2 linked regions of the Drosophila melanogaster genome follow. The protein of the gene in region 2 interacts with the protein of the main gene of each other region in a pairwise test. Each region holds a gene or a part of one and is shown on either strand. Other genes may lie near its edges.

What was found.
Region 1: the proteins of GstO3 (region 2) and CG14864 interact in a two-hybrid assay, tested with the Drosophila melanogaster proteins (one large-scale study listed by BioGRID).

What each region holds. Positions count from the first base shown.
Region 1 is NT_033777.3:15,266,128-15,270,611, forward strand, and holds CG14864 (uncharacterized protein), read right to left. Parts: upstream 2,303-4,484; 5' UTR 2,246-2,302; coding exon 602-2,245; 3' UTR 557-601; downstream 1-556. Other genes in the region: ATPsynO (ATP synthase, oligomycin sensitivity conferring protein), read left to right, coding at 1-243, 306-461; Zip88E (Zinc/iron regulated transporter-related protein 88E), read left to right, coding at 2,636-2,884, 2,954-3,213, 3,277-3,478, 3,610-3,988, 4,058-4,068.
Region 2 is NT_037436.4:8,517,140-8,520,936, forward strand, and holds GstO3 (glutathione S transferase O3), read left to right. Parts: upstream 1-1,745; 5' UTR 1,746-1,814; coding exon 1,815-1,842; intron 1,843-2,372; coding exon 2,373-3,070; 3' UTR 3,071-3,156; downstream 3,157-3,797. Other genes in the region: CG6765 (uncharacterized protein), read left to right, coding at 61-119, 177-278, 333-519; se (sepia), read left to right, coding at 3,451-3,478, 3,535-3,797.

The sequences.
Region 1 (4,484 bases), on a different chromosome or scaffold from region 2:
ATCATCAACAAGAAGGTCATGGCCACCGCTCTGAAGGAGGCATCCGAGAAGCTCCGCTTCGCCCCGGCCACCGTCAATCTGTTGGGTCTGCTGGCTGACAACGGACGTCTAAAGAAGCTGGACACCGTGATCAATGCCTACAAGACCATCATGGCCGCACATCGCGGTGAGGTCGTCTGCGAGGTGGTCACCGCCAAGCCCTTGGATGCGTCCCAGAGCAAGCAGCTGGAGGGTGCCCTTAAGGTAGCTACGCCTAGCTTCTGTCTTGTCTCACCCACTCAATTTATTGCTCATTTGCTTTGCAGTCTTTCCTGAAGGGCAACGAGTCTCTGAAGATCACTTCCCGCGTGGACCCCAGCATCATTGGTGGCCTGATCGTTTCCATTGGCGACAAGTACGTCGACATGAGCATTGCCACTAAGGTCAAGCTCTACACCGATGTCATCCAGACCGCTGCCTAGACTCTTAAGGATTTGCTCTTGATTTAGATGGTCAAACTGAAAGTTTGGTATTGGAATTCAAGCGGTAATAGCGAATAAAACACTCTTCACCCTTTGAAAACCAACAAAATTTATTCAGAGATATGCGCACTAGATTTGGTTTATGATTTAGATATATTTTTAGGATCCGGTATATCTGTGCACTGCAGCTCCGCAACCTTGTGCTGGATTGTCTGCTGCAGAAGGCTGTGCTGCTCCAGCAGATTCTCCAGCTCCTTGATGCGAGATCTCTGCAGTTCCAGAACCTTGGTGAAGTTACTCGTGGCCGGGGACTCAAGCCAGTTGATTAGAAAACTATTATGTTGCTCTTTATTATCGTTGGCGTTTTGTTGAGCATCAAAATTACTCTTCGTCTTGCTATCTAGTGTACTCGCATCCTGCCCTGGGTTGGGGCTGCAATCATTCAAAGGACTCTCCTCCAGGACCAGAACATTGGTCTCGTTCGAGGATCGACAAACTCTGTAATTGGGCTTGTCGATTTCCGGGAACACAGCTCGCTCATCATTTTCGGTCAGATCGGACTCTTGAACGCAAATCTCTGGAGGCGGCGCCATGGGACGTTGCTTCGCCGGAGAGCAGCACCCATCTTCATAGTCATTATTCCGGGTGCCGTTCATAAGCAGCACGTTGATTGCATTTGAAGTTCTTCTCTCGCCGCCGCCACAAGTAAAGTTATTCGAATTATTGGTGTATCCGCCAGATAAACCTGTCGCTGAGCTTCCAGTTTGATGGCTGAACGAGCCGGTCATCTTGGTTCGCCTAACAGGCGAAGAGCTCTGAGTCTGCAGCGTCACCGTTGAGCACTGCACTTCCTGATCCTTCAATTGCTGGGTGATGCACGTCTGGCAGCATTCGCTCTTCAGCTCCGGCTTTTTCTTCGTATTCTGCTGGTTCATCGAACTTTTAATTTTGTTGTTACCTCGTGAAGTTGGCGATACCGGGTAGTTCGGGCTACTGCGGAAATCATCTGCTACAGTTTTTATGTCCGTTGTCCTGAAAGCTGGACAAGTGAGACGTTCACAGGAACTCTGTTTTTTTGGGCTGCCTTTGGAATTATCCTTTCTTTCTTTATACTCTTTATTTATACTTTGTTGGCTGCCTGAATCCTCTTCTAGAGGGGCTACCGCTTTTTTGATCCCTTGCACTGGACAGAAACTACAGGTGCATCCATCACAGGTGCAGTTTACAGCTCCAAAGGTCGGTTTATTTACCCTTGGGCTTAATTTCATAGGTGGATTATTTTTGTTCTCTAAGTTTGTGGCCCTTGTTTGTGGATTGGGATACTTCTGTCCCATTTGGGTGTATGTATTGCCCTGGAACATGCTGTTGCAGGTGTTTCGAAAACGACAGCAACCATTCGTACATCTGTTCGCGCTGCTGAATTCCTGCCTCTCCGAGCCGAGACTCTGTTTGCTTTGGTTCTGGATCCGCTCGTTAGTCTTTTTGCTGATGGAATAGCCATGGCCAGCGTCCGATGCCGAAGAGCTCCACCTGCTCCATTCCTGCAGGCCAGCTTGAGTCCTTGCCCTGCCAGCAGCACGAGACGAGCTCTCCGATTCCGAACCTGATCCGTGGCCATCCAAATGGGAGGCGCAAACGCATCCGTGCCGGCATAGCGATTCGGGGTCGACGTCAAAACTGCTGAGGTTGGCCAAGTTCTGCCACCGGCGAGCCTCCGACATGTTGCGCGGGTAGACGCACTGCTCGCCCGGCTCCTGGCCACAGATTATACAACGACGATGCATTTTCCAACGGACAACCAGGACGGAAACGGTAAAATTTTGAATTTTAACTACAGGAGCATTTGTCGAAGTGCAAAACTATAATTGGAGAGGGTGCCTACCTTCTTTTATTGAAATTCTTAATGGTGGTGGTTGGTAAAAGAATAGTTCTAGATTTAAATGTTTAAATAAAATTAAAAAAAAAAAAAACCGTTTAAATGAGTGTGATCTGAAAGGCGCACTGCTGAAATGCCTTACTTTTCTGTGGCCCCCCCATTGTAAGGCGTTTTGGTATTTCGCACGAAAGCAGCTGCACACACTTCGCAACTGTTTAGTTTAAAAATAGTAAATGCAACGAACTTTTGTGTGTTTTACTGGCCCCCTTCTTGATGACACAGTCTGGCAGTTGATACAATGAGCTTGCCAACCGACGGTCTAAACATGGAGATCACCCCAAGCCCCACCCTGGCTGCCACGAGTCGCGGCGACTTGGAAAAAGTGCTGGCTATGCTGGTCCTCGGACTCGGGAGTCTTTTGTTCGGATTGCTGCCCGCCTTTATATCGGAACGGAATCGTCGCCGCTTCCCGCTGACCGCATCCCTGCTCCTGTGCTTCGGAGCGGGCATTCTGCTAGCCACCGCACTGGTGCACATTCTGCCCGAGGTAAGAGCTTGGACTGCGATCGTGTGTGTGGCTGCAATTTGATAACCTGCTGACTTACGCATGCAACAGGTGCGCGAACAAATGGACTCGAAATTCGCTGAGGTTGCCATGTGCGGCGGGTTCTTCATCATCTACTTTATCGACGAGTTCATACACTACTTCTTTGGCGAGGCCATTCAGCACACTCATGCCCACGATGCAGAGACTCCAGCAACCGAGCCACCAAGACGTCCCACTAATGACAATGGTTATGGCGCAGTGGACGAACGAGCGCCCCTTTTATCAGCGGAACCCAATACGTCACATGGGCATTCGCACCATCATAGCCAGTAGGTTTATTGCATTTCCCTTCCCGCAGCCAAAACTAATTGCTTTGTGCTTCGATTACGCAGCGATCATGACCACAATCACCCGGCCAGCGCATCTGGCTGTAATGATGCCAGTGTAGAGGACGCCAACGCCCGCATCTGCCACACCAGCCACACGGAACCCTGCGCCCAATCCATGACAGGCACTCTGGGTCTCTTTGTCGCCCTGTCACTGCACTCGGCCATCGAAGGACTCGCCATCGGCGTTCAGAACTCTTCCACAAAGGTCTGTGCCGCCTGCCTTGACATAGTTAGACTAGATCGGCTATAGTGCGCAATCTTAGGCAAATATTGAAGCAAAGAGATGCGAGGGCTTAGTCCAATTAGATAACCGGAATCTGCTTTGTCTCGTCGTAGGTTCTGTTTCTTCTAGGGGCCGTCGCCTGCCACAAGTTCGTGATGGGCTTTTGTCTGGGGCTCGAGTTCCGCTCGAATCCGCAGACGAGTTTTCGCGCCCAGTTCGTCGGCATTTCGGTGTTTGCCCTGGGCGCCGTCATTGGCATTGGCCTGGGCATGCTTATCGTGGACGTGCCCGCCGCTTGGTCCAGCAAAACTCTGCCTATCGTCCAAGCTCTGGCCGGAGGCACACTCTTCTACGTCACCGTCTGCGAGGTGATACCGCGCGAGAAGGCGCGCTGGCACTCGAACTCAACGCGACGCTGGGCGGGATTTGCACAGTTTGCAACTGTGCTCGCCGGCTTTGCGACCATGTGCATCATAAACTTTTATCTTTCTGGTGCGTAGCATTATGTGATTTGCATTTCCCTTTCGACATTGCTGACCTATTTTCTTCGCGCCTTTTCAGATGAGGATTAGACATCTTTTCGTTGAGAAATCGTTTCAGCGCTGTGAGAAAATGTGCCGCTTTTTAAACTTAGAACACTTAGGATAATATTATGGATTGGCAGCTGTTAATCTCTTGTGTAAGACTTGTTACTTGTGCATTTCCAACTAATCTTGTTTTAGGTACATTGTCGATCTGCCGTAGGATAAGTAAAAAGTTCAGTCTTCTCGTCTACATTTATATTTTCTCTTTCTCCAAAGTTTGTGTTATTTTTTATGCTTTTATTATATGTAATAAACCTTACAATTAAGTTGTTAATCAAAAAAAGGGCATCCTCTTTTCCTTTTGATTAATCTTACTTAGCCAACCATTAAACGCAATCATTTTATTACTTTCTGGGGACATCATGTCACTGTTTTAAACGAATTAAAACAACATCTATGTAACT
Region 2 (3,797 bases):
TGATCGGTTACCAATATCTATTGGATGTATTAAAACCAGATTATATATTGTGTTTTTCAGCAACAGGAGAACAATATGGATCACGATCACGTAACTCTGCTCTGCGATTTGTGTTCCACGTAAGTGTTTGGAGTTATAGAAGCAAAATATATACTAACTCCCTTTCCCATGTGCAGATCCTTTGATACGCCGGCGGAGTGGGTGCGCCACATGAACAGCCAGCACACGGAGATCGAGTTGGCCATGTTCAACAGCAAGAAGGATGGCGAGCAGAAGGGGTGTGTGTCCTAAGGGCTAGCAAAAGCACACTGATGAACTCTGTTCACTTGCAGCCAGCAGCCACCGCCACCGCCGGCGACCAGCAGCTCTTCCACAGTGTCCAACAGCCAAATGCAGCCAAAGTATCCCAGCTCCACCGCCACCAGATCGACGCACTCCCTCATGCTGCACAAGATGAGCAACAGCGATGCAGTGGCCACAACCACATCTCCTGGAGCATCCACCTCACCGAATGGCTAAGGCCAGCCATAGGGATCAACTTCAAAGAACCATTGGACCATTGGCGAATGAAGCTGAAGGATTCGAAACCGGATGCCCATGGATAAATTTGAAAACAGCCATATTCTTCATTCATTTTCAAAAATCTCAAGTCGTTCCAATAATCAAAAGTGAGATGGATGTTTATATGCAACAGCAAGAACCGTGATCAAAATGCAACCAGTTTGCATATTTTATAGAGCAACAAACAAAATACAAATTGCGAACAAAAAAAAATTAACGAAACTATAAACGAAACTTAGAATGGAAATCGTCAGGCAACGATGCAAAACAAGACAAAGCAAGAAATTCAGAAACGAAAGCAAAGCAACATTTAACTCCAGTGTGTAGAATTTTTTTAAGTGTACGTATTTACTTAGTTTTAGCTATTTATCCCATGTATTTACCGTAACAACAACGCGCAATTGATTCGGGAAAAAAAACGATACAGTTTAATCATTAAATTTTAATGTTTACCATTTGCGGACATTTTTAAAATGAATTAAAAACTAAAAATTAATCATCCACTTGAGTTTTCAAAAGGATGCATCAAAAGAAATCCCATTTGTAGGACCAAAAGCAGCGAAAGGATCTTTTTACATTTTGATAAACAATTAATTCCAGCAGCAAGTGTAGTTGTCATTATTTATTACTTTCCAATTTGGTTTTTCGAATGCAATTACTGATAACAACTATTTATCGCGACTCAATGATGTCAGCAACTCTGTTGTATATGTATTAATACTTTTTTGTATTTTTTGTAAGGCATGAACGGAAATTTCGAGAACTTTTTTGTACATAGATTAAGTTTGATTTCGAAAGTCCGCCGATCGAAACTTTTTACGAAAAGTTCATAAACTTAAAACTCTAAATGTACGTAGTAGTTCCGAGGTTCAATTAAAAACAAAAATAAAGCTCCCCCCAAACCATGTAAAAACAAAATATATCTATATTTACAAACAGGCGTGATTATTAACAAACTAAGTAGATGTACTATGTATAATGCGGAGGAAATGATTGTCTCTTCCCACAAAACAAATCGCAAATGTAGTAAAGCGTTTTAAATCGAAATAAACGTCTGCGATGAGAAATCGTTTTTAAAAGCTAACGAAAACTAAGAGTCACGTCGCAAAAAGCTCGATTATTCTTATTCGCGTTAAAACACAAACAAAAAACTTTATATAAACAGAGCGCCGTCGAAGAGAAAACTCAGTTCGCATTTCACCGTCGACATTTCAACAGTTAAGCGAATTTGTTCAGTTCTGCAATTAAACAAAATGAGTTCTGGTAAACATTTGGCCAAAGGTAAGAGAGCAAGCAAAACCAGTTGTCGCCGCCGCCAAGAGAAACGCCCATGTCATTAGAGTGTTTATAGTATTATTTATAAAACAAGTTCTCCAACATTCAGCGTAATTATCGAATAACGATTTTTATATTTCATAATGTTAAAGAATATTGGCATGAATAACTGGGATTTTTTGGTTAAAAAGTTAGAAAGGTATATTATTTGGTAAATTTCAATACGATCTTTATTCTTTTACAATTGTAGGTAATGCATTAAATTAATTATTTGATTTGTAAAATTTACTTACATTTTTAGCTATAGCTTTCACCCCGATATCAGATAACCCATAATATTTACACTCTAAAAGATAACGTAGCTACAAAATTTGAGCTTTATCACGACTGGGCCCTATCAACATTAACTTAAGTGCAATGACTTGCTAAACAAATAATAATACAGGGGTGGATTTTAGGGTTCCACAAGTGACTCATGAAGTTATTGATTTATTTGTATAACCTAAATTTAACTGGTAAATAAATTCTATCTTTAGGTTCCCCCAAGCCTGTACTCCCTGACGATGGAGTCCTTCGCCTGTACTCCATGAGGTTCTGTCCCTACGCTCAGCGGGCTCATCTCGTCCTGAACGCCAAGAATGTGCCCTATCACAGTGTCTACATCAATCTCACCGAGAAACCAGAGTGGCTGGTGGAAGTGAGTCCGTTGCTTAAGGTGCCTGCCCTGCAGCTGGTGGCGGAGAAGGGTGAGCCCTCGCTCATCGAGTCGCTGATTATTGCCGAGTATCTGGACGATAAGTACCCGGAGAATCCGTTGCTGCCCAAGGACCCATTGAAGCGGGCACAGGACAAGATTCTGCTGGAACGTTTCAGCAGCATCACCAGTGCCTTCATAAACATCCTTGTGCAGGGCACCGGTCTGGAGGATTACTGGACGGCACTTGATATCTTTGAGGAGGAGTTGACCAAGCGGGGCACCCCATATTTTGGCGGCAACAAGCCGGGATTCGTGGACTACATGATCTGGCCCTGGTTCGAACGCCTCTCTGTAATCGAGTTGAAGTTGCAGAAGGAGTACAACTTCAACGAGAGTCGTTTCCCGAAGATCACCAAGTGGATTGCCCTCCTGAAGGCGGACTCGGTGGTGCAGTCCTTCTATGCCACTCCCGAGCAGCACAACGAGTTCTGGCGCACCCGCAAGGCCGGCAATGCAAACTACGATCTGCTGGCTTAGATCGGTACTGAAAATGAAACTATTATATAACAAAGGAGATTTAATAATGTTCTAAAAACAATAAAAACTAAAATATTTTATGTGACAAAGAAATGAATTAAGGCTAGAAAGGCAAGAATTCCGTTCCAGATTCACAGAACGTGGTTCGAAAAACTTAGTTCTTAAAAAGTTTTGTTTTAAACAAATATTTTGGAGCAATATGCAGGTTGCAAGGGGGCTTCACTGTATCCACATGGCTTGGTATGTGTGTCAGCCGCAAGCCACCAAGTTCAGCCGCGTAAGCGAAGCCAACCGGCGAAGGGCAGTGAGCTGCACTTTATAAATCACTCGAATGACAATCGCTATCACCACTTGCATCTCTGGACCCGAGCACGCACATCATGAGTAACGGCAGGCATTTGGCAAAAGGTGGGTAGAGCCAGGAAACCAGGATAATCATAATTGATAATAAATGCGCCCACTAGGCTCACCCATGCCGGATGTTCCCGAAGATGGTATCCTTCGCCTGTACTCGATGCGCTTCTGCCCATTTGCCCAACGGGTGCATCTGGTCCTGGACGCCAAGCAGATCCCGTATCACAGCATCTACATTAATCTCACAGACAAGCCGGAGTGGCTGCTGGAGAAGAATCCACAGGGCAAGGTGCCGGCTCTAGAAATCGTGCGAGAACCTGGACCACCTGTGCTCACAGAGTCGCTACTGATTTGTGAATATCTGGACGAGCAG